3 linked regions of the Diceros bicornis minor genome follow. The protein of the gene in region 3 interacts with the protein of the main gene of each other region in a biochemical or structural test. Links are inferred from orthologs where the notes say so. Each region holds a gene or a part of one and is shown on either strand. Other genes may lie near its edges. The genes, in order: TNFSF13, TNFSF13B and TNFRSF13B.

What was found.
Region 1: the proteins of TNFRSF13B (region 3) and TNFSF13 form a complex in vitro, tested with the Homo sapiens proteins (2 studies listed by BioGRID and IntAct). The link is inferred for Diceros bicornis minor from reciprocal best matches to the Homo sapiens genes TNFRSF13B and TNFSF13.
Region 2: the proteins of TNFRSF13B (region 3) and TNFSF13B form a complex in vitro, tested with the Homo sapiens proteins (3 studies listed by BioGRID and IntAct, with this or other methods). The link is inferred for Diceros bicornis minor from reciprocal best matches to the Homo sapiens genes TNFRSF13B and TNFSF13B.

Annotation. Positions count from the first base shown.
Region 1 is NC_080757.1:10,771,308-10,778,358, reverse strand, and holds TNFSF13 (tumor necrosis factor ligand superfamily member 13), read left to right. Parts: upstream 1-4,290; 5' UTR 4,291-4,378; coding exon 4,379-4,636; intron 4,637-4,976; coding exon 4,977-5,133; intron 5,134-5,206; coding exon 5,207-5,254; intron 5,255-5,399; coding exon 5,400-5,518; intron 5,519-5,726; coding exon 5,727-5,865; intron 5,866-6,102; coding exon 6,103-6,212; 3' UTR 6,213-6,355; downstream 6,356-7,051. Other genes in the region: TNFSF12 (tumor necrosis factor ligand superfamily member 12), read left to right, coding at 2,107-2,231, 2,430-2,681. UniProt on the Homo sapiens protein: Cytokine that binds to TNFRSF13B/TACI and to TNFRSF17/BCMA. Plays a role in the regulation of tumor cell growth. May be involved in monocyte/macrophage-mediated immunological processes.
Region 2 is NC_080748.1:82,904,317-82,912,358, reverse strand, and holds the start of TNFSF13B (tumor necrosis factor ligand superfamily member 13B), read right to left. Parts: upstream 3,252-8,042; 5' UTR 3,082-3,251; coding exon 2,731-3,081; intron 2,630-2,730; coding exon 2,542-2,629; intron 1-2,541. UniProt on the Homo sapiens protein: Cytokine that binds to TNFRSF13B/TACI and TNFRSF17/BCMA. TNFSF13/APRIL binds to the same 2 receptors. Together, they form a 2 ligands -2 receptors pathway involved in the stimulation of B- and T-cell function and the regulation of humoral immunity.
Region 3 is NC_080757.1:465,897-473,856, forward strand, and holds the start of TNFRSF13B (tumor necrosis factor receptor superfamily member 13B), read right to left. Parts: upstream 3,477-7,960; 5' UTR 3,460-3,476; coding exon 3,399-3,459; intron 1-3,398. UniProt on the Homo sapiens protein: Receptor for TNFSF13/APRIL and TNFSF13B/TALL1/BAFF/BLYS that binds both ligands with similar high affinity. Mediates calcineurin-dependent activation of NF-AT, as well as activation of NF-kappa-B and AP-1.

The sequences.
Region 1 (7,051 bases), about 10 Mb from region 3:
AGTTTGCCAAGAGTATGATGAGGCTGAGGGACCGTGAAAAGCTCAATGTAGCTGAAGGAGAAAGTGCTAGAGGAGCAGGATGGGGCATAAGGCTGGAGAAGAATGTGGAACCCAGGTCACAAATGGAGTCTGGAACTTATTCTGAGGCTCACATCTGCATTTTAGAAACATCACTCTGTGGCTGTGTGTGGGGAATAGACTGGAGCAGACAATATTGGAAACAGGAAGTTCAGTGAGGAAGGAGGCCAAGAAGAGTCCCAGTGAGAAGTGGCAGAGGCCAGACTGGGGAGGAAGACAAGGCAGGGCTACTTAGGTAGCAGAAGTTGCAGGAACTGGTGATCGGTGAATACAGTTGGTAAAGGAGAGGGAGGCTTGGGTACACGGTGGGAGGTAGAGCCAAATCTGGAATACAGACAGCAAAGCAAGTATGGGGTGGGGGGGCCAAGCTCAGTTTTGGTCAAAATGAGTTTGGGGTACCCAGGGCTATTCCAATGGCAGCAGTTAGCAGGGAGAAGAGGGTCAGGAAACCTCTGAGCTAGAGGCTCAGATCAGAGTCTGCAGGGTAAAGGCCTAGGTAACTCATAAGTGGGAATGAAAATGCTCAGCAAGTACTATGTTTTCCTTGAGAAAGTAACAAGAACAGAGTCCTGCGGCTGGTGGAGGATGAGGGGCTGGGGAAGGCAGATGCCCAGGCGGCTGAGACGTAGCCAGTGAGGCCTAGGAGAGTGGCCTATGGACCCAAACAAAGAGAGCGCTGTTGGCCATGTTCACCTCCTTCCCTCCATCTTCCTATCAGCGTTTGCTGTGCGCCCACTCAGAGCAGGCCCAGCTCCAGGCGCCGGGATACAGTGGTGCATAAGACCACTGTCGCTGCCCTCTTGGCGGAGTCAGACCCCAAACTATCACATACATAAATAAACGAGATGATTTCCTATGTTGGTGGCTGCTATGAAAGAAACAGGGTGACTTGAAGAGATTAACGGAGGCAAGGCTGGGACTGGCTATTTTAAAGCGGGTGGCCCCGGAAGGTCTCTCAGAGGAGTTGAGACCTGACTGACAGAAGGTGCCAGGCAGGGGAGGAATCCTGAGGAGAGTGTTCTGGGAAGAAGGAAGAGCTGTAAAATGCTCTGCAGGGACAATGAGCTTGGCGCATGGCAGGAACAGGAAGAGGGCTAGAGTGCTGGAGTCTTGTGAATTGGTGGCATGTGTGAGTAAATTGGAGAGGAGACAGAAGGGGCCTGTGGAGGACCTGGGAAACCACTTGATACTCTGCTCTGTCATTTTATTATTTATCTTCTTTACAATTTGCAATTACCCTAGCCTAGATGGTTTTTTTTTTTTGGTAATGACTTTATTGGGATATACTTCACATACCATACAATTCACCCATTTAAAGTACAATTAAATGGTTTTTAGTATATTCACAGAGTTGTGCAACCATCACCACAGTAATTTTAGAACATTTTCATCACCTCAAAAAGAAACCCTGTACCGTTTAGCCATCACCCCCATTTTCCCCATCCCCCCGGCCCTAAGCAACCACTAATCTACTTTCTGTCTCTATATATTTGCTTATTTGGACATTTCATAGAAATCATATAATATGTGGTCCTTTGTGACTGGCTTCTTTCACTTAGCATAATGTTTTCAAGGTTTATCCACATCATAGCATTTTTTTTTATGGCTGAATAATATCCCATTGTATGAATATACCACAGTTTTCCTTATCCATTCATCCGTTGATGGACATCTGGGTACCATTTACTATTTTTAATTTAAATAATTCAAGTGGTGTATGATTCAAGTACTGTATGTATACATTCTCAAAGTAAAAGAGGCAAGCAATATAGATACAAAATATAAAAGCCCCCACACTTTGTCAAACCTACTCTTCTCCCCAGAAGTGACTGGTGACAACTTGCTCTGTGTCGTACCTGCCTGTTACACTATGGGCTCCACAGGCCCTGGCTCCTCCCTTGCCCTGAGCCGTCTATGTATCTTCTGGGTAAGGTGGGCCCCAAAGGTTTATAAACTCAGTGGGTCCCTGGGGAGTGTGAGAAAGTCCTGTAAAGGGACTTTCCCCTATCTCTGAACATCCACATTCAGGTGTGGACGGGACGGTGAGTGGCTGGGAGGAGGCCAAAATCAACAGCTCCAACCCACTGCGCTATGACCGCCAGAGCGGGGAATTTATAGTCACCCGGGCTGGGCTCTACTACCTGTACTGTCAGGTAAGCCCCACCTGGCTCCATGGGTAAAGCAGGAACTGAGGGAGAAGGGTTTGGTTTAGGGAGTGGGGGCAAGCTAAAGGTGGGAAGGGGGAGCTTGGGGTTTGGGCTGGAGAGGATACCTGGGTCTCTAAGGAGATTTGAAATGGACATGAGGGCAAGCAGAGCCCTAGATTCCACCCTCCCTCCCCTGCCCCCCAGGTGCACTTTGATGAGGGGAAGGCTGTCTACCTGAAGCTGGACTTGCTGGTGGATGACACGCTGGCCCTGCGCTGCCTGGAAGAGTTCTCGGCCACGGCAGCGAGTTCTCTCGGGCCCCAGCTCCGTCTCTGCCAGGTGTCTGGGCTTTTGCCCCTGCGGCCAGGGTCCTCCCTGCGGATCCGCACGCTCCCTTGGGCCCATCTCAAGGCTGCCCCCTTCCTCACCTACTTTGGACTCTTCCAAGTTCACTGAGGGGCCCTGGTCTCACGGTGGTTTTCCCAGGCTGCCGGCTCCCCACGACAGCTCTCCGAGCACCCCAGTCCCCTCTGCCCCACCCTAAGCTGCTCCTCCCCCCAGATCTGCCCCTCCCTCTGTAGGCTGCCAGGGCTTCACGTGTTCTCCATGCCACATAAATATTCCCATTTGACTATGACAACTCCCCCCACCTCTGGTCCTCCACCTCTTTAGCTCCCAAACCCCTGATCTTTCGATGCCCCCATTTATCTCCTGGCTCCCCACCCTGGCCACAGCCCCCCAGGACACTGGGTTTACTGTACTCTGGGTAAGGATGGGTCCTGAATACCCCTCTTCAGGCACTAAGAGGGGCTGGACGCCAGAAAGACTGGGACTAGGCCAGGAGTTCCCGACTGTGAGGGGTCAGAGACCAAGACAAGCTCCTCCCCTGATAATTCCCTGTGGATTTTTAAAACAGATATTATTTTTATTATTATTGTGACAAAATGTTGATAAGTGGATATTAAAGAGAATAAGTCATGGTCTCTCTCTTTATTGGGGCTTAGGGGACATTCTCAGTGTAGCCAAGGGCCAGGGGAAGGGTGTCTGGGCATTGGGGAGTCGGGGGCAGGACACCCGGAATTCCAGGGTGTTATACAGCTTGGGAGTGGGGACCTGCATGCCTCCAACCCCTGAGGTATAAGCAGAGAGTGGAAAGGCAAACTGCCAGGAAAAATATCAATCCTCTGCCCAAGGTCCAGCAGGGCAGCCTCATTTACCTAGGAGGCGGGCCTCCTCCTGCGGGGAATCCCTGGCTGGGAGGAGCAGGGGCCCTTCCTCTTGGCAGCCTCAGGACATTCAGCAGGTGCTGGCACAAGCCCTGGCTGGGATCTGGGGTGGGAGCAGGTCTGGAAGGGGGCTCAGAGTCAATATGAAGGACCCCGAGGCCCAGGAACATGGGAATCTGGGCCCCTGGGTCCAGGGGAGGAATCCTACAGTGGTAGGGTGCTTGGGGCTGTCTCGTTCTCTCTTTGTCCACAGCCTTATGTAAGAGCTTTTCTCGGGAAACAGGAAGTCCTGCTTGCCAAGTTCAGCACAGGGAGTAGTGCAGGCCTTATTCCAACACACCCGGCCTGGCCTTAACCCCAGAACTCAGACGGTTTCTTGCTTCCGCGACCCTGGTTCTCCTCCCACCGACCCCCTCCCCTCCTCTGCCACCTGCAGTCACTCCTAGCAGACATCCCCAGAAATCTCTCCCGTGCCTGAGCCAGAGGGTCTTCCACCCTCACCCGTTGACCCTCAACGCTGCCCAGCTTGTCCCTCCATCCTTGCTCCTGGCACCATGCCCCACAGCCAACCAACCTTCCCTCCCCCACTTCTGGGGCCGCCCCAGGGTTCCTGTGCTCTGGCCGCTCCTCCTGGGTGTCACTGGCAGCCCCGTCCTTCCTAGAGAGACTGACACCAAATTCTCCTGAGGCTGAAGGAGGGTGAGGGGTCTCAAGACAACACTGGCCCCATAGCGGGGTGCCAGGAGCACCAACAGTGCCCCCAGCTTGCTTTCCTCCTCCCTCCTTTTTATTCTCAAGTTCCTTTTTATTTCTCCCTTGCGTAACGCCCTTCTTCCCTTCTGCACCACTGCCTGCACCCCCACCCTCTCCGCCACCTCCTTGCCACCCCACTCCTAAGACCACAGCTGTTGGCAGGGTCCCCAGCTCATGCCAGCCTCATCTCCTTCCTTGCTAGCCCCAAAAGGGCCCCCGGGAGACATGGGGGGCCCGGTCCGAGAGCCGGCACTCTCAGTTGCCCTCTGGTTGAGTTGGGGGGCAGCTCTGGGGGCTGTGGCTTGTGCCATGGCTCTGCTGACCCAACAGACAGAGCTGCAAACCCTAAGGAGAGAGGTGACCCGGCTGCAGAGGACTGGAGGGCCCTCCGAGAAGGGGGAAGGGTATCCATGGCTGAGCCTCCAGGAGCAGGTGAGTGAGGGGAGAGGGGTGTCTGGGAGAGAAAGATGGGTGGCAGGGCCATCTGTGGGCCTCTCGGTTTCAGCCTCCTAGTCTGTAAAGTTTCGAGTGGGTGCAAGAGAGGGTCCCAGGTCTGGAGGTCAAGGGAGCAGCCATTCCAGGAAAGGAAACTGTTAAAGATTAATGCTTCTTGTACCTAACAGATCCTGGAGGACAGCCAGCACCAAGACTCAGGTTGCTAGGGAAAGGTGCATGAGATGTGAGGCATTCCTGGGTCAGGGGAGGGCTGGGGAGAACGGCTGTCTGGGACCCTTGCATCTTAGCCTAACCCTGACCCTCTTTCCGTGAGCAGAGCCCTGATGCCCTGGAAGCCGGGGAGAATCGGGAGAGATCCCGGAGAAGGAGAGCAGTGCTCACCCATAAACAGAAGAGTGAGGCCTCCGGGGTGCCGCAGGGGTGGGAGGTGATCAAGCCGCATGGGGATTTGGAGATTATTACCCCGAGTCAAGGTGAGGGTGGAGGGCTGACAACAGGGCAACTGGGGTAGTGGGCACTGCTGAGATTTCCTCCTTCTCTCCTCAGGAAAGCACTCAGTGCTGCACCTTGTTCCCATTAACATCACCTCGAAGGGTGAGCACAATTTTATATATTGGCTTTTGGGAAGGGTGCAAGATCTGGGAACTTTGCGGCTGGCACCTGGGCCCAAGAGAATCTTAGAGGTGAAAAGAGTCTGAGAGTGCACAGAAATCCTGACTGCCACACTCCTTACCTCCAGAGGACTCTGATGTGACAGAGGTGATGTGGCAACCAGCTCTTAGGCGTGGGAGAGGCCTGGAGGCCCAAGGATATGTTGTTCGAGTCTGGGATGCTGGAGTTTATCTGCTGTACAGCCAGGTAACCCCAAACATGAGCCTTGAGCCTCACATGGGGGCCTGGAGTCTTGAGCCTGTGTACCCCGATACTGAGGGTTCCCAACCCCTGTTCACACCAAACTTGGAAGACCCTTCTTCATCCCTTGGCTCCCTTGACAGGGCTCCTGAGACTGTCCAGAAATGAGCCATGCCATCCTGTTTTTTTCAACATCTCCTCCCTTCCCTGCCAGGTCCTGTTTCATGATGTGACTTTCACCATGGGTCAGGTGGTGTCTCGGGAGGGCCAGGGAAGGCAGGAGACTCTATTCCGATGTATAAGAAGTATGCCCTCCAACCCGGACTGGGCCTACAATAGCTGCTACAGTGCAGGTGAGAGCCGTGCGGGCAGTGGAGGCTGGATGTGAGAAGACCACGACATCTCTGACCTGGGGGCAGTGGTGAGGGAGCTACGACAGGGGGTTGGAAGCCTGGGTGTCAAGGCAGATCTGCGGAATACCTAGGTCCTTACAGGAAGCAGAAAAAAGGTTGAGCTGGAGAAGGGAGGGTGAAACATCAGAGTATCTGCATGCCTGTGCTTCACTGAGCAGAGTTTCTCCCTTTTCTCAGGTGTCTTCCATTTACACCAAGGGGATATTCTGAGTGTCATAATCCCCCGTGCAAGGGCGAAACTTAGCCTCTCTCCACATGGAACCTTCCTGGGGTTTGTGAAACTGTGATTGTGTTATAAAAGGTGGCTCTGAGCTTGGAAAACCAGGGTGGGTACATATTGGAGACAGCCAAGAGCTGACTAGACAAATGACAGGGAATGGGTAGGAACAGAAGCCTCTTCTGGGTTTGACTGGAACCCTGGGTTTGACAGCTCATGCCACGGGACCTGGGTTTGACTCCTTTCCTCCCTTTTCCTTTTCCACTCCCACCCCCTAGACTTTGATTTCATGGATGTTAAAGAGGTAGAATGTCTTGCTTTTATCCCTCATCCAGCCCCAAATTCTTAACGGGGAGGGAATGCCAAGCATTGTCTAGATCTGCTTTGGGTCCCACTGGAATGCTTCCAGAACAGCACCACCATCTAGCGGCAGTTTGAGAGAATCATCCTGCCTGTTGGCAGAAGTCCACGAAGCCTTCCTCCACTCAGGAAAACTCCTGGTTCCCTTTGCCAAACCTCTCTCCAGGTACCCTCTGCCTCTTCAACCCACAAGAAGCCTCATCCTCCCTTTCTTCTCTCCATCTATTGGGCCTCAGTTTCCATCACTATCTCCAGAGGTGTATTTATTATGCGCCCATCTGCAGGGGGTGCCCGACGAGGACGGTCCCTTTGCAGTCACATTACTCTTCGGGTCCCAAGTTTTGCCTTTCATACTCTCCCTTCCCCTGGCGTGGCAGGCCACTCCAAGCCCCTCTGGGCTGGGACGGGTCGCCGGGGAGCCTTGGAAGAATCGAACGCCCTGATGCTGGTCTTGCCTCGCTCATCTGAGCTCTTCTTTCTGCTCAAGCCCTGCTTAAAGTTAAATAAAAGAGAATAAATGATACCTCGCATCCATTTCCCCCACTGCCT
Region 2 (8,042 bases), on a different chromosome or scaffold from region 3:
AACACAAATATGTAAAAATATCCACATGGGAAGAAATTTAAAAATATTAATAGAGGATACTTTAGGGAAGTGGGCTTAGGAAATTATTGATTTCTTACTCAGTTCTTTACTTCCTAAATATGCTGTAATGAGCCTATATCCTCTTTGGAATGGTAAAGTTAAGGTTTATTTTTAAAACTAATATTTAGAGGCAGGGGACTACTAGCAGAGAAAGTTGAAGAAGATTGAGGCATCCTGATCCTACTGAACATTGAAGCTCATTATATTACAAAATTACTTAAAATATTTTATTTAATACAGATAAACAGAATAATAAATCAATGAAAAAAAGTTTCAAAATAGATTCAACTATATATGAGGAACTTTTAATACAGTAAAATTTCCAACACAAACAAGTTAAAAAGAATCATCTAGTAAATTTGGTAGAGATATTTAGCAGCAGTTTGGAAGGAAAAAATAGAAGAAGAAAGGGGAAGTTAAAGCTGGTGTGATATGAGCTTCCAAAATAAATGCCAGCAGGATTGATGAGTTAAATACCAAACTAAAACACTAAATTATAAAAAAGTCAAAGTAGCGGAAAATAGAATCGACTATTTAAGAGATTACAAACAAATATATTTTTAGCTTTGATGTATTAGAGAAAGTCAAAAGGAAAAGTTTGTCACATTAAAATACACAGATGCAAAATCTCTGTACAAGTTTAAAAAAGCAGCAAAATATTGTGAAAAGATTTACATCAAAATTCTGATAAACGTTAATATGTGTAATATAGAATTTAGTCAAAATTATAAAAAATTAGGACAGGCAAATGAGGGAAGATATAATAAAAATTAGCAGAAGATAAAATTAGAAGTATCAAAATATGCGGAAAGAAGTTAATTCTTACTTGTAAACAAGCAACAAATTAAATTTGAGATACTGCTTTACAACTACAAAAGTAGCCAAAATAAATTTTCAAAGATAAAATGCTGTAAGAATGTGGAGAACTTGTACACTCTCTTTCTGACTGCACACATTTAGAACTCATTTGGGAAGCAATATGGTAACAGGTAGCAAGAGTGATGAAGATGTTCATCCTCTTTAGCTCAGACATTCCATCTATGGAATTTATATTGAACATATCATTCCTCAGAAACAAGAGATCTGCACAAAAATTTTGGCATGTTCCATTATAGCCAAAAAAAAAAAAATGGAAATGATCATGTTAAATAATCGTATGATAATAAATAAACTAATTTAGATGCATGAGAAATTACTTAGAAATAGGGAAAATGCTTATGGTATAATAGGTGAACACAAAAATATACCATAGTATATATGCTGTATTTTTTCAATTATGTAGAAAATGTAGACGATCAAATGCAAAATATGAAAATAATTGATGTGTTAAAGTATAGTAAAAATATGAGTGTTTCCTAGTTTAAAAACGTTTAAACCTAATTGTTTCTGATAATTGGCACACAGATAGAAGAACCAGATACAAAAAATTATGGTTTTATAAAATAAGGAAGAATTTTTTTCATGAATAAAGAAAGCATTTACTGAAAAATAAGCTTACAGTCAGAGTATCTAATGTGTGTGTCGAATAGCACACCTCGTCTGTGTCCTTCACGTGCTTCTCTTCAGTACAGATGTATGTAATGATCACACGCGCTCTGCTTTCCTCCCGGTCACTGTAAAGGTGAAGGAAATGGCAGGTGGGACAACACCTGTCCTACCGCAAGCCTGCCTGGCACATTCGAGGTGCTCAGAAACGTTCTTTCAATATAAAAGGGAAACGATACCAAGGATTTGTCAAATTGTGATATTAGAAAATGCAATGCAAATGCTCTTGTTCGTCTTTGAAACAAAGGAATTAGAACCAAGCATTTTGGGAGGCCTCACCAAATCCGAGGTTTCAGGAATCTGTAAGATTCTGTGGAATAAGTGGAACATGAAGAAAGGTGGAAATCACTCAAGAAGTACTACAAGAAGATTATAAATGTATGGATCTCCTGGAAAAGCATATGTAAAAGAAAATTTTTTAAATTAGAGTGTGTGTGTATAAAATACACTGTATTTAAAGCAAGAAGCAAAATAAAGCACAAACACACACCTGCTCCCACTACGACCTTGGTTTCACAGCACACCAGGCAGGCCATGCTTGTCTTGAGCCGGTGTCTACGACCCAGGTAGACAGAATCTAATTCTGTGCTAACATGTCATGCTTTTTATCGGAGTGATGGACAATGCTTCTGACATACGGGTGAACTACCTATTGGAGGAAAAATATGTGCCCCATTTTTTGCTCCTTTATGCTTAATGTATGGCACAGGCAAATATTTCCACCCCCAAAATCTGCTCATTGGAGGACAAAACTGCTGTGCAGCCTATTAAATCTGCAAGTGCTCTGGCTTTGCCACAAAGCCACATGTGGTTCAGACGGCAAATTGCACTCTCTATGTTATGCTCAGCTCGCGCGCCCCCAAACCGGATGCGGTCCTCCACACCTGTGAACGCTGAGATCCCCGACTCCTAAACGCTTCTGTTCCCCAAACCTACCTGTTTCTTCTGAGTCCGAAACGGCACGCTTATTCCTGCTGCTTTGATTGGAGTTGCTTTCTCCTAGAGCTGGTGGTGCAAAGATGCCCTAAGAAGAGAAAAACCCCAAGTTATGGCACAGACCTCTGCGGTGGGGGAGGCAGCAGTGCGGGGAGACTCGTGCCTGGGCTGCAGCTGCTGCAAACTCACTTTCAGTGCGGAGGTGGCAGCTGCAGCCTGCCGCACAGCTGCCCGGGGGGCTGCTGCTCCCGCCCGGGGAGGGCCTGGCGGCCGCTCAGCGTGGGACGCCTGCAGTTCCTCCCGGAGGCTCCCCAGCTCCGCTTGCAGGGCGACCACCCGGCAGAAAGACACCACCGTGAGGCAGCAGGACAGCAGGGCCAGCAGCAGGGTCACGGCCAGCAGCTTTCCATCTTTGGAGAGTCGGACAGAGGGGCTTTCCTTCTGGGGGAGGATGGAGACACTGTCCTTCAGTTTCATTTCTTCTCTTCTCTTAAGGCAAGAAGAAAGGCGTGACTGCTCCCCTCGTGTGGAGTCATCCATCTCACTCCTTGAACTTTGGAGGTTCGGGCCTTTAGAATAAGTGACCACAGGGAATGGATCATTTCCTGTTATCTGTGTTTGTTGATGTCCTACATTGACTACATCGCCCAGCGTGGCTCTCGCCCTCAGGAGAGTTCTCCTGAATTTTCTTCTCTCTGCCCCGCTGCATCTCTGCCCTACTGTACGCTAGGTCTTCCTGGCATTCGCCCTTCTATTCGATTGCTCAATCAGTCTTCCTCATTTCACTTTCAGTTTTTGTAAGAATTTTAATGACATCTCAAAACACTCATACACACACGGGCCCCTTAAATCCACTGATTTGTCGGAACCTCGGGTTTGGGTCAGCACACTTAAGGGCACTTTTAAGCCGTGCAGTGTTTAAGGAGCTCCCTCTGAGGCGTTCTCAGAGAACTGGGTCTACTTGGGGCCACGTGGCTTTGTAGGAAAGGGGAAAAGAACATGAAAGTTCCTGCTGGTGTAATAAAAATAATGAATGTGAGGTCAGATAGCTAAGTGCTTCAGTATTGAACTGTACTCAGCTGGAAAGTGATTTATTAACAGCCTTTAAGCAGGAAATAAAATGAAGTGTCCTTAAAGGAGGCACGGAAGTCCGCTGGGGACTCTTCTCTTTATTGTTATCTCAGCAATGTAATTAAAAGCATGTGGCTAAACTTTGGAGACCTATTTAAATTAGATACGGGTGTGTTCTTCTACAGGGGAATGCATTTCCAAGGGAAACTTGCTAATCATTTCCTTCTGGGACTCACTGCTAGGGAGTCCGTCCCCCACAGGACACCCCGCCCCAAGGAGCGGTCCCACCTCTACTGTTCCCGCTTCTGGAGCTTGAAGTCCCTGCTCAGTGTGATGCTGTTTCGAGGTTAATGGGCCTTATCTCCAGCTCCAAATGCCCCAGTCCGGCCACTTACTGCTCTTTGCTAAAGCAGCTTATCTACCAGTCCACAGTAGGTTGACTCTGCCCCAATCGAAGTGCACGCAAAACGACCTGACTCAACCCAGAATCACTTCAGTTTCAAATCCCTATGGTTGGACGTGGCGTTGCTGCCTTGTCTTGATGGACGGCTCCTGGACATTTCCCGGTTTCTGGGTGCTTGGCTCTCAGCACCTACATATTGAGCAAGGAGCTTACACTTCAGTGATGTTACTGAGCACTTGCCGAGGCCTGGCTAAGCACGACTCCCCCGTGAGCAAAGACTGTAGAGCAGGAGCTCTATCTGACCCCACATTTCTATGCCATCTTCAAAAGAAAGTTACAGAAATGAGGTAAGTAAGGGTAAGGCCTCCAGGGAGCGAATCCTGGCTCCACCTCTTACTCTCCTTGGGCAAAGTATGTAAACTCTCTGTGACTCAGTTTCCTCATCTCTTAAATGAGATGATAACTGTCCCTGAGAATTGTAAAGAGGCGTACAGGAAAGTAGAACAAATTATATTTAAGATGCTTCCATTTTTCATTCACAACATGAAATATATTTCATTCATTCATTATACGAACGAAATGTTTCACTCATTCATTACACGAAGTATTTTTCATTGTTATTAACAGTGCCATAATAAACATCTTTGTACATGTCTCCTGTAACATCTGCAAGGGTTTCCCCAGCAGGCACCTGCTGGAGAGCAGGCACAGGGTTACCTTTACCACGTGTCACCAAGTCCCCTCTGATGAGTGCCCGTTTCCTCAGTGTCTCAGTAAGCATGATGTCGCGAGACTTATTCATTTTTACCTATTGGGATTGTTATTATTTTCCTTTGTGTCTGCAAGTTCCAAGACTCTTTTAAATGACCTTTAAAAAACTTAAAAAAAAAGTAAAAATTTTTTAATGATTACCTTGGTCTCCCAAATTAGCTATTCTCTAATCTCTCAGGTGGAAGTCTTCTTCTGTGAGTGAGTATGCAAAATCTTTTGAATCAGACATCACGTAATACAAGTCTTTTGTCACAGTCCTATGTTTCCAGGTCAATCAGGGTGACATATAAGAGATAACATTCCAATAAAAAAGAATTAGTTTAGGGATTGTATTAAACCCTTCTGACTGAAAGTAATTGAAACTCACTGAGATCATGTGAGTGTATATTAATATTATCTATGCACATACAGAGTAAGAATTCAAGGCGGTGCTGGAAACCAACGACTCTTCCTTCACTCGGGACACCTGTGGCCGCTGCTGCTTTCTGTGGGTCAACACTCTCCTACTTCTGACGGGTCACTTGTCTCCTACTCTGCTGTGACATTTCTGAAGAGAGAGGGAATAATTTGACCGTTTTAGCAATTACCTCTGCCTTGGTTGCTCTATTGGGCAGAAACCTTCATGCCCAACCACCTCAAGAGACAGCCACCCAGCAGCCTACGTGCAGGCCATTTTAAAACAAGTACCCCGTCCTGGATCAAGCAGGGGGCAACCCTGAGCACAGAGAGGGCTGGTGCTTCCTCCACAAAAGGCAGCAGGCCAGCCTCCCCCCGACCCAGACCTGAGGCAGGCACTCATTGCCATTTGCGTGTCCTCCACGGCGATCACACAATTAAATTTGTCTGAAGACAGATCGAAAACTAAGTGGCATTCATGTGCTCTTGAATTTCTTATTAGAGGAACAAAAGGAAGTCATTACTCCGTAAATCAAAGATCTGTTTCCTGCAGAGGAAGTGGTTTGACAATAATTTAACTGAAACTCTGTTAAACAAATAGCATGTTCACATCCACTGAACACACACCACACAAGTTTATCCAGGGAGGAGAAGCTACCCTCCCTGAGCCACAGAGCGCTCTCTGTCAGTACGTAGCTACTTTTCTACCCACTTCTTTTTCTCAACTTCAGTGTAAAACACTCTCCTGTAACATAGCTATACCAAATTGAATAAACAAATTGAGATGTCACATTCCTGTCCCAGCCACTCAGGGGTGGGCAGATAGGAACACGTGAGGGTATATTTGAAAAGAACTTCAGTGATGAGTTTATCCAAGGAACTGAACCACAGCATAAAACGAACACCTACTCTATGACTGCTTGCTTCTTATACTGACAACCTCAAAATATTCAAAAAGCTTATCAACTTCTGGCTTAATAGTATCATGAAGAATTAGCAAGTTTGGGAAATCTCTCCTATACCCCTTTCTTTGAGGAAAATGAGTCTTTCATAAGGATTTGGACCACTCAAGCATGGAGACAACAGCTCTTCTAAATATTCGGATGTACCTAAAAATAAATCTAGGTGAAACTGGCTTCCTAACGTGCTCAGAATATGGAAAATAGTTTGATACAAATAACTATTAAATTTCAGAAAAAAAATCATGTTGTTTTCTGGCAGAAATAGATATGCAGTCGGTTGCTATTACAGTTATAGTGAAAATTGATTTGGAAGGCTGAATGCTAAACACCGTGTAGAACTTAACTGTGGAATAATATGTGTTTAAAATTAGACAACTCTGGTCGTTCCTTACACAAAAAATAATGTCAGTGTCTGGCAATGCTGATTTCTCTTTCTTAATAGTTATATTAAAAAGAAGACTGTGTATGCATGTACTGGAGGTTGATTTTTGTCACTGTTGGAAAAAAATCCACTTTTGTAAGAACTCAGTTTCATTTGTGAATCTGTCCTCAATTTGTTTTGTAACTGCTTTCAGATTTAATTCTCTTGAAGAAAAGTGTTTAAATGTGTGTTTTTAAGAAATTTCTGTTTACTTCAATACTATTTTCAATGAGTGCAATTTAGTTTGTCATTCTTCATAATGTTTACAATATTTTCGTTGGTATTAAGATGGATATGTGTCAGTCCATATGATCACCTACCTATTTCATGTACATGAATGAATTTTTCTATTTTACACACACTGACACCCAGGGACACTCAAATAACACCTGGTCAGATTTGACCACCTCAAAAACGTTGGGAGAAATGATAAAGTAATTCTACACATGCAGGAAATATTACTTACAAAACTCTCTGCCTTTAAGATTAATAAAGCACAGTTTGCAAACATTTTTAATGATTAATTTGACTTTTTGTTTACTAAATGCGAGAGGTAAAATGATGGGAGTTAAGAGTGCAGGCTCTTGGGGCCAGCCCGCTGCCTTAGCAATTAGGTGCACGAGCTCCGCTACTGGCGGCCTGGGTTCGGATCCCGGGCGCACACTGACGCACCGCTTCTCCGGCCATGCTGAGGCCGTGTCCCACATACAGCAACTAGAAGGATGTGCAACTACGACATACAACTATCTACTGGGGTTTTGGGGGAAAAAAAGGAGGAGGACTGGCAATAGATGTTAGCTCAGAGCCGGTCTTCCTTAGCAAAAAGAGGAGGATTAGCATGGATGTTAGCTCAGGGCTGATCTTCCTCACAAAAAAAAAAAAAAAAGAGCACAGGCTCTAAAGTCAGACATACCTGTATGCCCAATTTTGCTTCACCATCTTAACAGTCTTTCCTGCCCCAAATCTGGAAACTGATTTTGGTTAGATGTCCATCTTCGTGGGATGCTGACCAAACGCACGCTATATCCTAACCACTGCAGTTCAGTCCTGGGGACTCCATCCACATCGCCCTTGATTGCCAAGAGTGGGCAGATAGGGAAGTTTCTAACAATCAGATGTGAAAGGTGGTCTCTCATGAGAAAGAGTCCATCATCTTTAAAGAGAAACAATAAAAAGACACTCTTCTTGCTCTATCACATGTCTACACATGACAACCTAGAACTGCACCAAATGCTGTGATACCCAGGCTGAGAGGCTGAGGACAGGAGAGCAGGATCATGGAAGAAAACTGGGTCTCTCATGGCACTACTGTGCTGCTGAATTAATCAACTCTTCGTGTTCCCTCTCCAGGGACTTCTTATATTGAGTAATACTTTTTCCCTATTCTTTAGGACAATTTGAGACAAGATTAGACGTTAATGCACCCAAAGACATCAAAACTAATTCTGCTGGCTTGAGGATATTTATATTCCTACAA
Region 3 (7,960 bases):
CTTCATGATTTGGGGTTAGGCAATGACACCAAATGTACAAATGATTAAAAGGAAGATTGAGAAATTGGACCTCACCAAAATTAAAAACTTATGTGTTTCACAGAACACCATCAAGAAAATAAAAAGACAATCCACAGACATGGAGGAAATATTTGCAAATCATATATCTGATAAGGGATTTGTATCCAGACTATACAAAGAGCTCTTATAACTGAATAATAAAAAGACAACCCAATTTAAAAATGGATTAAGGAGTTAGACATTTTTCCAAAGAAGATATATGAATGGCTAACAAGCACATAAAAAGATGCTCAACATCATCTGTCACTAGGGAAATGCAAATCAAAACCACACTGAGTACCTGTTAGGATGGCTATAATGAAAAAGACAGTGACAAGTGTTGGCAAGGATGTGGAGAGATTGGAACCTTCATGTGTTAGGCCGGATTATAAAACTGTGCAGCCACCTTGGAAAACACTTTGGCAGTTCCTTGAAATGTTAAACACAGAATTACCATATGACCCAGCAATTCCACTCCCCAGAGAAATGAAAACATGTCCACCCAATATTTGTACACAAATGTTCATAGCAGCGTTATTCATAATAGACAAAAAAGTAGAAACAACCCAAATATCCATCAACTGATGAATGGATAAATAAAATGTGGTATATCCATAAAATGGAATATTATTTGGCCATAAAAAGGAATTAAGTACTGATACGTGCTACAACATGGATGAACTTCAAAAATATTACGCTAAGTGAGAGAAGCCAGTCACAAAACACCACACTCCATTTCTACAAAACGTGCAAAATAGGCAAATCTATAGAGACAGAAAGTGGATTAGTGGTCGCCTAAGGCTGGGGGTGGGGAGGATGAGGAGGGACAAGGCTTCTCTTTGGGGATGAAAATCTTCTAAAATTAGATTATAGTGATGGTTGCACAACTCTGTAAATACACTAAAAAACACTGAATTGTACACTTTAAATGGGTGAACTTTATGGCATATAAATTATATCTCAATAAAGCTATTTATTCTAGGGGAGGCAGGAACCGGGCAGACAGAGGACAGGGAGGGGAGGCAGGCTTTCTGTTATATACCTTTTTATACTTTCTGAGCTTCCAACCATGTGACTATACTACATATTCAAAAAGCAATTTAAAAAACAAACAAATCAAACAAAATTAAAAAGAGACCCTTGACCCTTCCCTCATTTGGGGAGAAAAGAGGGAGAGACTGCTTCCCACCCAACCCCCTGTGAGGTGATGGTTGGGTGGATAGTGGGTCAGATCCGACAAGGGCGCCTGAGAGAGCTTTCAAGACACGTGGCCGGGAAGCCACCACGCCGCTGGACCTGACCGAGAGACAGTGCCCAAGTGGCCAGAGGGTGCCGTCCCTGCTCCCCCTCCTCTACCACTGCCTGGACCTACGGAAAATGCCAGAGTCATCGTCAGCCCCAAAGAGGGCAGAAAAACCCCAGGACTGACACCGGCCAGGCAGAACAGAAGCTTGGGAAAGAAGCTCTGTTGACACACGGGGAAGAAGGGAAGGAGTCCCGCACGCCTGGTCTGTGGCCCCGGCTCCCAGCCCAGCTCCCGTGCACCCTGAGACTGGAGAGCAGCCAGGAGGGACGATTCCTGGAGCCCACTGCCCATGCTTCCTCACGTGCTTGGCTTGTTAATAGGTGCTGCACCAAGAAAGACCTCTGGGGTCAAATTAGTTTGAAAAATGCTGGGTTAAAGAAAGTCAAAGTGTGTTTTTTTAACGGCAGCCCTTCTCAGAACCACTGCTTGTGACTCTTCAAGAGGGGCTCTGGCAGGTACAAAGCCCTTCTGTGTTTTTGAGGGACATCTGGTGGAACAGAGGCTCTTCTTCTTTTTACAGCTGAGGAAAGGGAGCCCAGAGAGGTGAAGCGGCTCATCCAAGGTCACACAGCAAGTCCGTGAGCAGCAGAAGCTAGAACTCCTGACTCCCGGCCAGGGCTGAGTCCTCGGCATGAGGTAGCCTCCATCAGTGCCAGGTCACAGCTCTGACCCATCCCGACTCACGGTTGGTCCTGGGGGCCCAGGCAGCTTCATCCTGTATCAAGGCGACCTCTGGTCCCTCCCTGGTCCAACTCTCTCAGAAATTTTATACATTTGAGCCCTTAGCTGAGGACACGTCTGGGGATGTGGTCACAACACAAAACGGAACAGAGAAAAGACAGGCTCCCTACCTGATGCGTGGGGGAGAGAATAGGCTGTGCCACTGTGGGCCCTGATACCCGCTCAGATCCGGCCCCGGGTCCCATCTGCACAGGGAGGACCTGGCCCCTTTTATCCGCTTTAGCGACCTACGCTTCCAGGTTTCTGCTTTCGAGCAAACCTTTAAAAGCTGCCCTGACGCATGATCCAGCTTCTTCAACAAATAAACAGCAGGGAAAAAATGGGAACGGTGCTAGATTAAAACATAGGGCCAAAGGCTGACGTGGGCTGTGTTTGATCCCGGTTTGCACAAATCAACAGGAAAAGGCACAGCTGAGACCATCGGGAAGTCTGAACACTGACCGGCCGATAGTGGGGAGAGACTGAGGGATCATGGTTCTCAGAAGTGGTCACCACATCATGGTTAGTTTTTTGGTTTTTGTTTTTTAAAGAGTTTTTAAGAGATAAATCCTGAGGTGTCCCCAAATCAAACAACACGATGTTCGGAATTAGCTTTAAAATGCTCCAGGGGGCCGGAGCCGGGATGGGGGGCGTGGGTGACCAGAGTTGGTCACATATTGATAAATGTGAAGCGGGTGACCCACCAGGAGGGTTTGTAAACTCTCCTCTCTACTCTTGCCTAAGTGTCAACTTCAAAATAAAATATTTTTAAAATACCCTGGTGGGGGCCGGCCCGGTGGTGCAGTGGTTAAGTGCCCGTGCTCCGCTTTGGCAGCCCGAGGGTTCACAGGTTTGGATTCCAGGCGCGCACCCACGCACCTCTTGTCAGGCCATGCTGTGGCAGCGACCCATATAAAGTGGAGGAAGATGGGCACGGATGTTAGCCCAGGGCCAGTCTTCCTCAGCAAAAAAGAGGAGGATTGGCATGGATGTGAGCTCAGGGCTGGTCTTCCTCACACACACACAAAAAGTCCTGGTGAATCTGGCTCCGGGCCCTCTGGCCAGCTTGTGGTAGGGGTCTCAGAGGGAATTCCTGCCCCGGTGGCTGACCATCTGGCCTCGGGGCTCCCATCCTGGACTGCAAGGCACAGACCCCGGAGTCCCCAGACCTGGGCTCTCCACGGGCGGGGGCTTGGGGAGGCCCCGGACCGCCCCAGCTTGCCCATCTGCTGTGGGCGTCGCGCCCACCGACCCCACGGAGCCCAGGCGGCGCCGAGCCCTCCCAACCACCCGCGCCTCCCCGGCTACTCACGCCGCTCCTCCGGGCCCGCCCGGCTCCGGCCACCTCTCCTGCTCTGGCCCGGGCCCCTCATTACTCAGGACGTTTATTATTAGCCTCAGATTTGATTAGTGCCCCTGCTGCACTTCCTGGGTTTTCCCCCCAAGCTGTAGGATGTAAATCAGCGGCACCCCCACCCCTCACCCCCGCGCCTGCGCGCTGTCTCGGGAGCTGCTGGGGGTGGACGCGGCCCGGCGCCCCAGGAGTCCCGTCGGGCGCTGTCTGCTGAGCCCCCCGCACGCTGCTCACCCGGGCAGAGCAGGGGAAGGCCCGACCCCGCCCCGGCATGGGCTACCAACCCTGGCATGGCCCAGATCTGGCCCTGACCTCCCACCGGGACCTGGTCTCCTGCCCCACCGCGGACACGCCAGGCTCAGGCCCGGGAAACAGCTCTCCAGCTTCCGAGCATTGCTCAGGCCCTTCCTTCGTCCCGGACAACTATTGCTTGTTTCATTGCCCGGTCATCTCCTCTTATTCCTTCTTCAGGCTCAGCTGAGGTGTCACCTCCTCTGGGAAGCCATCCCTGACTGCCCCAGGCCAGGTTAGGTGCCCATTCTCTGTGCTTCCTAAGCTCTGTCCTTCCTCCCTTCAAAGCACTCCAAGAGGCTGACACTAAAGCCTGGGTTTGAGTCTCAGCTCGCCCACTTAGCAGCAGGAAGCCTTGGCGGCAGTTTACTTAGCTTCTCTGGACCTCCATTTCCTCTTCTGTAAAATGGATATAATAACAGTCCCTGTCTCACAGGTTGTTATGAGAATGAAGTGAGTTAACACAGTGGAATTTGTAGAGCAAGTTCTTGGCACAGAGCAGGTTCTCACTAAATGATATGGAAATTAGTGCTGTAGCCCTCTTCACACTCTTGTCTTCCCAGCTCCTCTGAAACCTCCGTGAGCATGAGGAGCCCGCGGCTTAAGCTGGAGTGGGACGCACTTAGAAGTCACAGGAAGCCCACGGCACTCAGGAAGGGACCTTTGAGGGCTGAGAAGGAATCAGGCGGGTGGAGGGAAGGAGATAGGCCTTCCAGGCAGCGGTCAGGGCAGGGGGGAGCGGTGCGGGGAACAAAGGCCAATTTAGATGATGGTGAGCAGAACAGGAGAGAAAATGCAAATGGCTCGTAACCCTAAAAAATGCTTAATCTCACCAATAAGCAGAAAAGTACGACTTAACCATGAAAAACTGATTTTCATCCAGCAAGTTGGCAAAGTCTTAAAGTTGATGGTGTCGAGGACTGGAGGGGATCTGCGGAAATGTGAACTCACGCCCTGCTGGAGGAGGGTACCGCCATTTCAGAGGGCAACCTGGCAGCGTCAAGTAAATGTGGAACATATGCCTAACCCAGGACCCAGAAATTCTTTCTGTGCCGCAGAGGCACAGGGATGTTCGCTGAAGCATAGTCAATAACAGTGAGCAACTGGAACGACGCGAATGCCCACCCAATAGAGATGGCTGAATAAATAAGGTACACAGGCCGTAACCAGGAACACTACGCGTCGCCTGAAAAGAATGAGGCAGATCTGTAAGCAGTGACGTGGAAAGATTGTCAAGACAGATCGTTGAGTGGAAAGAACATAGTTTATAGGATGATACTTACAGTAAGATGCCTTTTAGTAAAACACAAACAAGCAGATCACACACACACACACACACACACGCACACAAGGCCACTATATTGTCCACGATCGCGTACGTGTGAATGTGACGCGAGTCTGAAGGGCTGTGCATGATGACAGTGGCTGCATCCAGGGGGCGGGGGGCGAGAAGGGAGCAGGGTTGGCGGTGATGGTCAAAGGGGACTTTAGCCCTATTCATACTGTTTTAACTTTCACATGGAGAAGATACCACATATTACTTGTGTCAATGAAATGTAGCAAACCCACGGCTGGGCTGGTGGGGTAGACGCGTGAGCCAGAGGCAACCATAGATTCTGTTGCCAGGAACGTTCTGCCTGTTGAAATGGGGCAAGCCCAGAGTCACTGCTGGATGCCCTCACTGCATCCCCTCCTTGCCTTCGATTTGCACACTCCCAGGGCCGAGGCTCTCACCACCTCACAAAGCGGTTGGCTCCCAGGGGGTGAGCTCTGACCACTGGACAGCTTGTCTCCATCTATTGAACACTGTGCCTTCCAGAAACGCAACCTCTGGACAGGTTGCCGCTCTCTGGAGCCACATGCATGGTCTTGGTCAGTGAGACAGCACTCTGGAGTTTTACAGCCAGCATAGGTTAGGCGGAAACTGAAAGACAAGCCCACAAAATCCCACTTGACTTTTGGGGTGGCTGAGAACTGCATGGTGGGGTTCCCTGATGTCCCATTGCTGATCACAGCTTGTTAATGCTTTTCTCAAACAGTTTACAGACAATGGATTTCATTTAGTTTCTATTTCTTTAGTTAGAGGCGTCGTTTACATATGATGAAATGCATGCATGTCCTGTGGAAGGTCAATGAATGTTTACATATGCGCATATCCAGGCAGCACCACCCACATTAAGACTTAGAACACTTTCAGCCCCCACAGAAGGCTCCCTCCCTCCCCCTCCAGGCAGTACCCCCATCCCAGAATAGCCACTGTTCTGACCTCTCTCCCCATGCAATCGCTTGCCTGTGCCAGCATGAGTGGGATGAATGGGAACAGAAGATGGGGTCATCCGCGGTGTCTAGTTTCACTCCGTGTTAGGTGGGATTAAAGCAGGCAGAACAAAGCTGTGGGGATCTTGGGGGGAAGTTGTTTGACGTCTGCGAGTCTCATTTTCTCCTGATCCATCACATGGATGGCCACGAAGCTGAAACAGGACTGCACAGACCAGAGCACACGTGACCCCTCCCCCCAGGGCCGCACGGTTGCAGGGAATTGCTATCGTTGGGCATGCTCGGTCTAGGCCACGACCCACGACAACACCCCCCAGCCCCGCCCCCAGCACTCTGGGCTGCCTCAGCGCAGGTGGTGGAGGTTTCCGAACCTCATTCTGAACCTTCCAAACCTCATTCTGAAACCAGCCCTTCTGACTTGTCTCCTTGGGGGTGCGGAGTTCTAATTTTAAGCTCCACAGTCAAGGCGACAGCAGAGTTTTGGAACCCAGAGCAAAGACACATTGTATACCTCAAGGTTTGGGAACTGGTTCATTCATATACGTGTATTTAAACTGTTGAAATGAGCACGTGGTAAAGAAACATTCAAACAGTGTGAAAGAGAATATAGCAAAAAGCAAATTTCGCCCCAATCTAGATACTCCAGACTCCCCTCCTCAGAGGCAGTAGCCGCCAGCACGTCTGTTCCCACAGCCTTCCACTAGGGCCCAGGCCTTCGTGCGAGTGTGGGTCACTACAGGACAGATTTTGCCCCATTTCCCCCCACACGCTTTTTTTTACGTAATTGCTGGCTTATCCAGATTAAACACACTGTTAACACGCTCCTTTTCTCCCTTAATATATCCTATCAATCAGTCCTTACCTTTTTAAATGAGCTCTTAGAATGCTCGCTAGGAATAATAACAGGAGCGAGCATTTCCGAACCCCTCACTGTGTGCCAGGCGCTATTCTTAAACACTTGGCATGTGCTCATTAATGTCTGTTTTATCTTCTCCGTGACTCACGGAATGGCTGGAATTCCTCAGGGGGAGTCACTCTGTCAGAGGGAACGCTGCCGTGTTGGTCAGTATTTCCTTGCCCGCGTGTGCGATGCTGTGACTGCAGGGCCCCTCGCCCACTCCAGGGCTGGGAGGGTCTTTGAGGCGGCGGGTGTTCGTCTCATCCCGCCCTCGTGTCTGCCACCCCCGCTGGCCCCTTTGAGGCCACGCCGTTGAACCTTCTCTAAAGAGTCTTAGAGGTAAGATAAAAGCAAGAGTACCCAAAAAAGGACATTTCTTAGAAATGCAGCGAAAGCCCTGATTTTCATGATTGCAATTTACATACACGACTCAGATGTGCTGAATTTCCTACTTTGCTAATATACCTGTTCCTTCGATTTGTACTAATTTCTCAGAAAGGCTAGATACTGTTACTTGAGCAAAACCCACCAAAGAAGCAAACACTGATTTCTTTACAATAAAAGCACCCAATCTTTTGTGGGAAGACCTAGTTTCTTTTTCTATTTTAAAATTTTCCCCTCAAAACTTTTTATTATGAAAAATTCAAAACTCAGAGAAAGGTTAAAAGTGAAGTAAAATGAATACCCGTGGACGCTCCAAGACTCAACAGCTGTTCACTTAGACAGCTGAAAGCAGACATTGAAGCTTCACGCCCAGATGCCTCCCAGATGACTCCTAGGAAGACGGACTATGTTCTCTTACACAGACGATCATTTTCCCCCCAAGACAGTCAGTGAGAATTCAATAACATCATTTACTAACTAGTCCATGTTTCAATTTCCCCAGTTGTCCTAAGAAGTTTTTCTTGGCTGCTTCTTTTGAATTAAAATCCAGCCTAGGGTCACACGTTTGCTTATGACTCTTCAGTCATTTTTCTCCCAGAACAGTCCCCTCCCTTTAGCTCTTTTTCTTTTGCCTTCCTTTCCTTTCTTTTGTTGTTTGGTGTGGACTCGG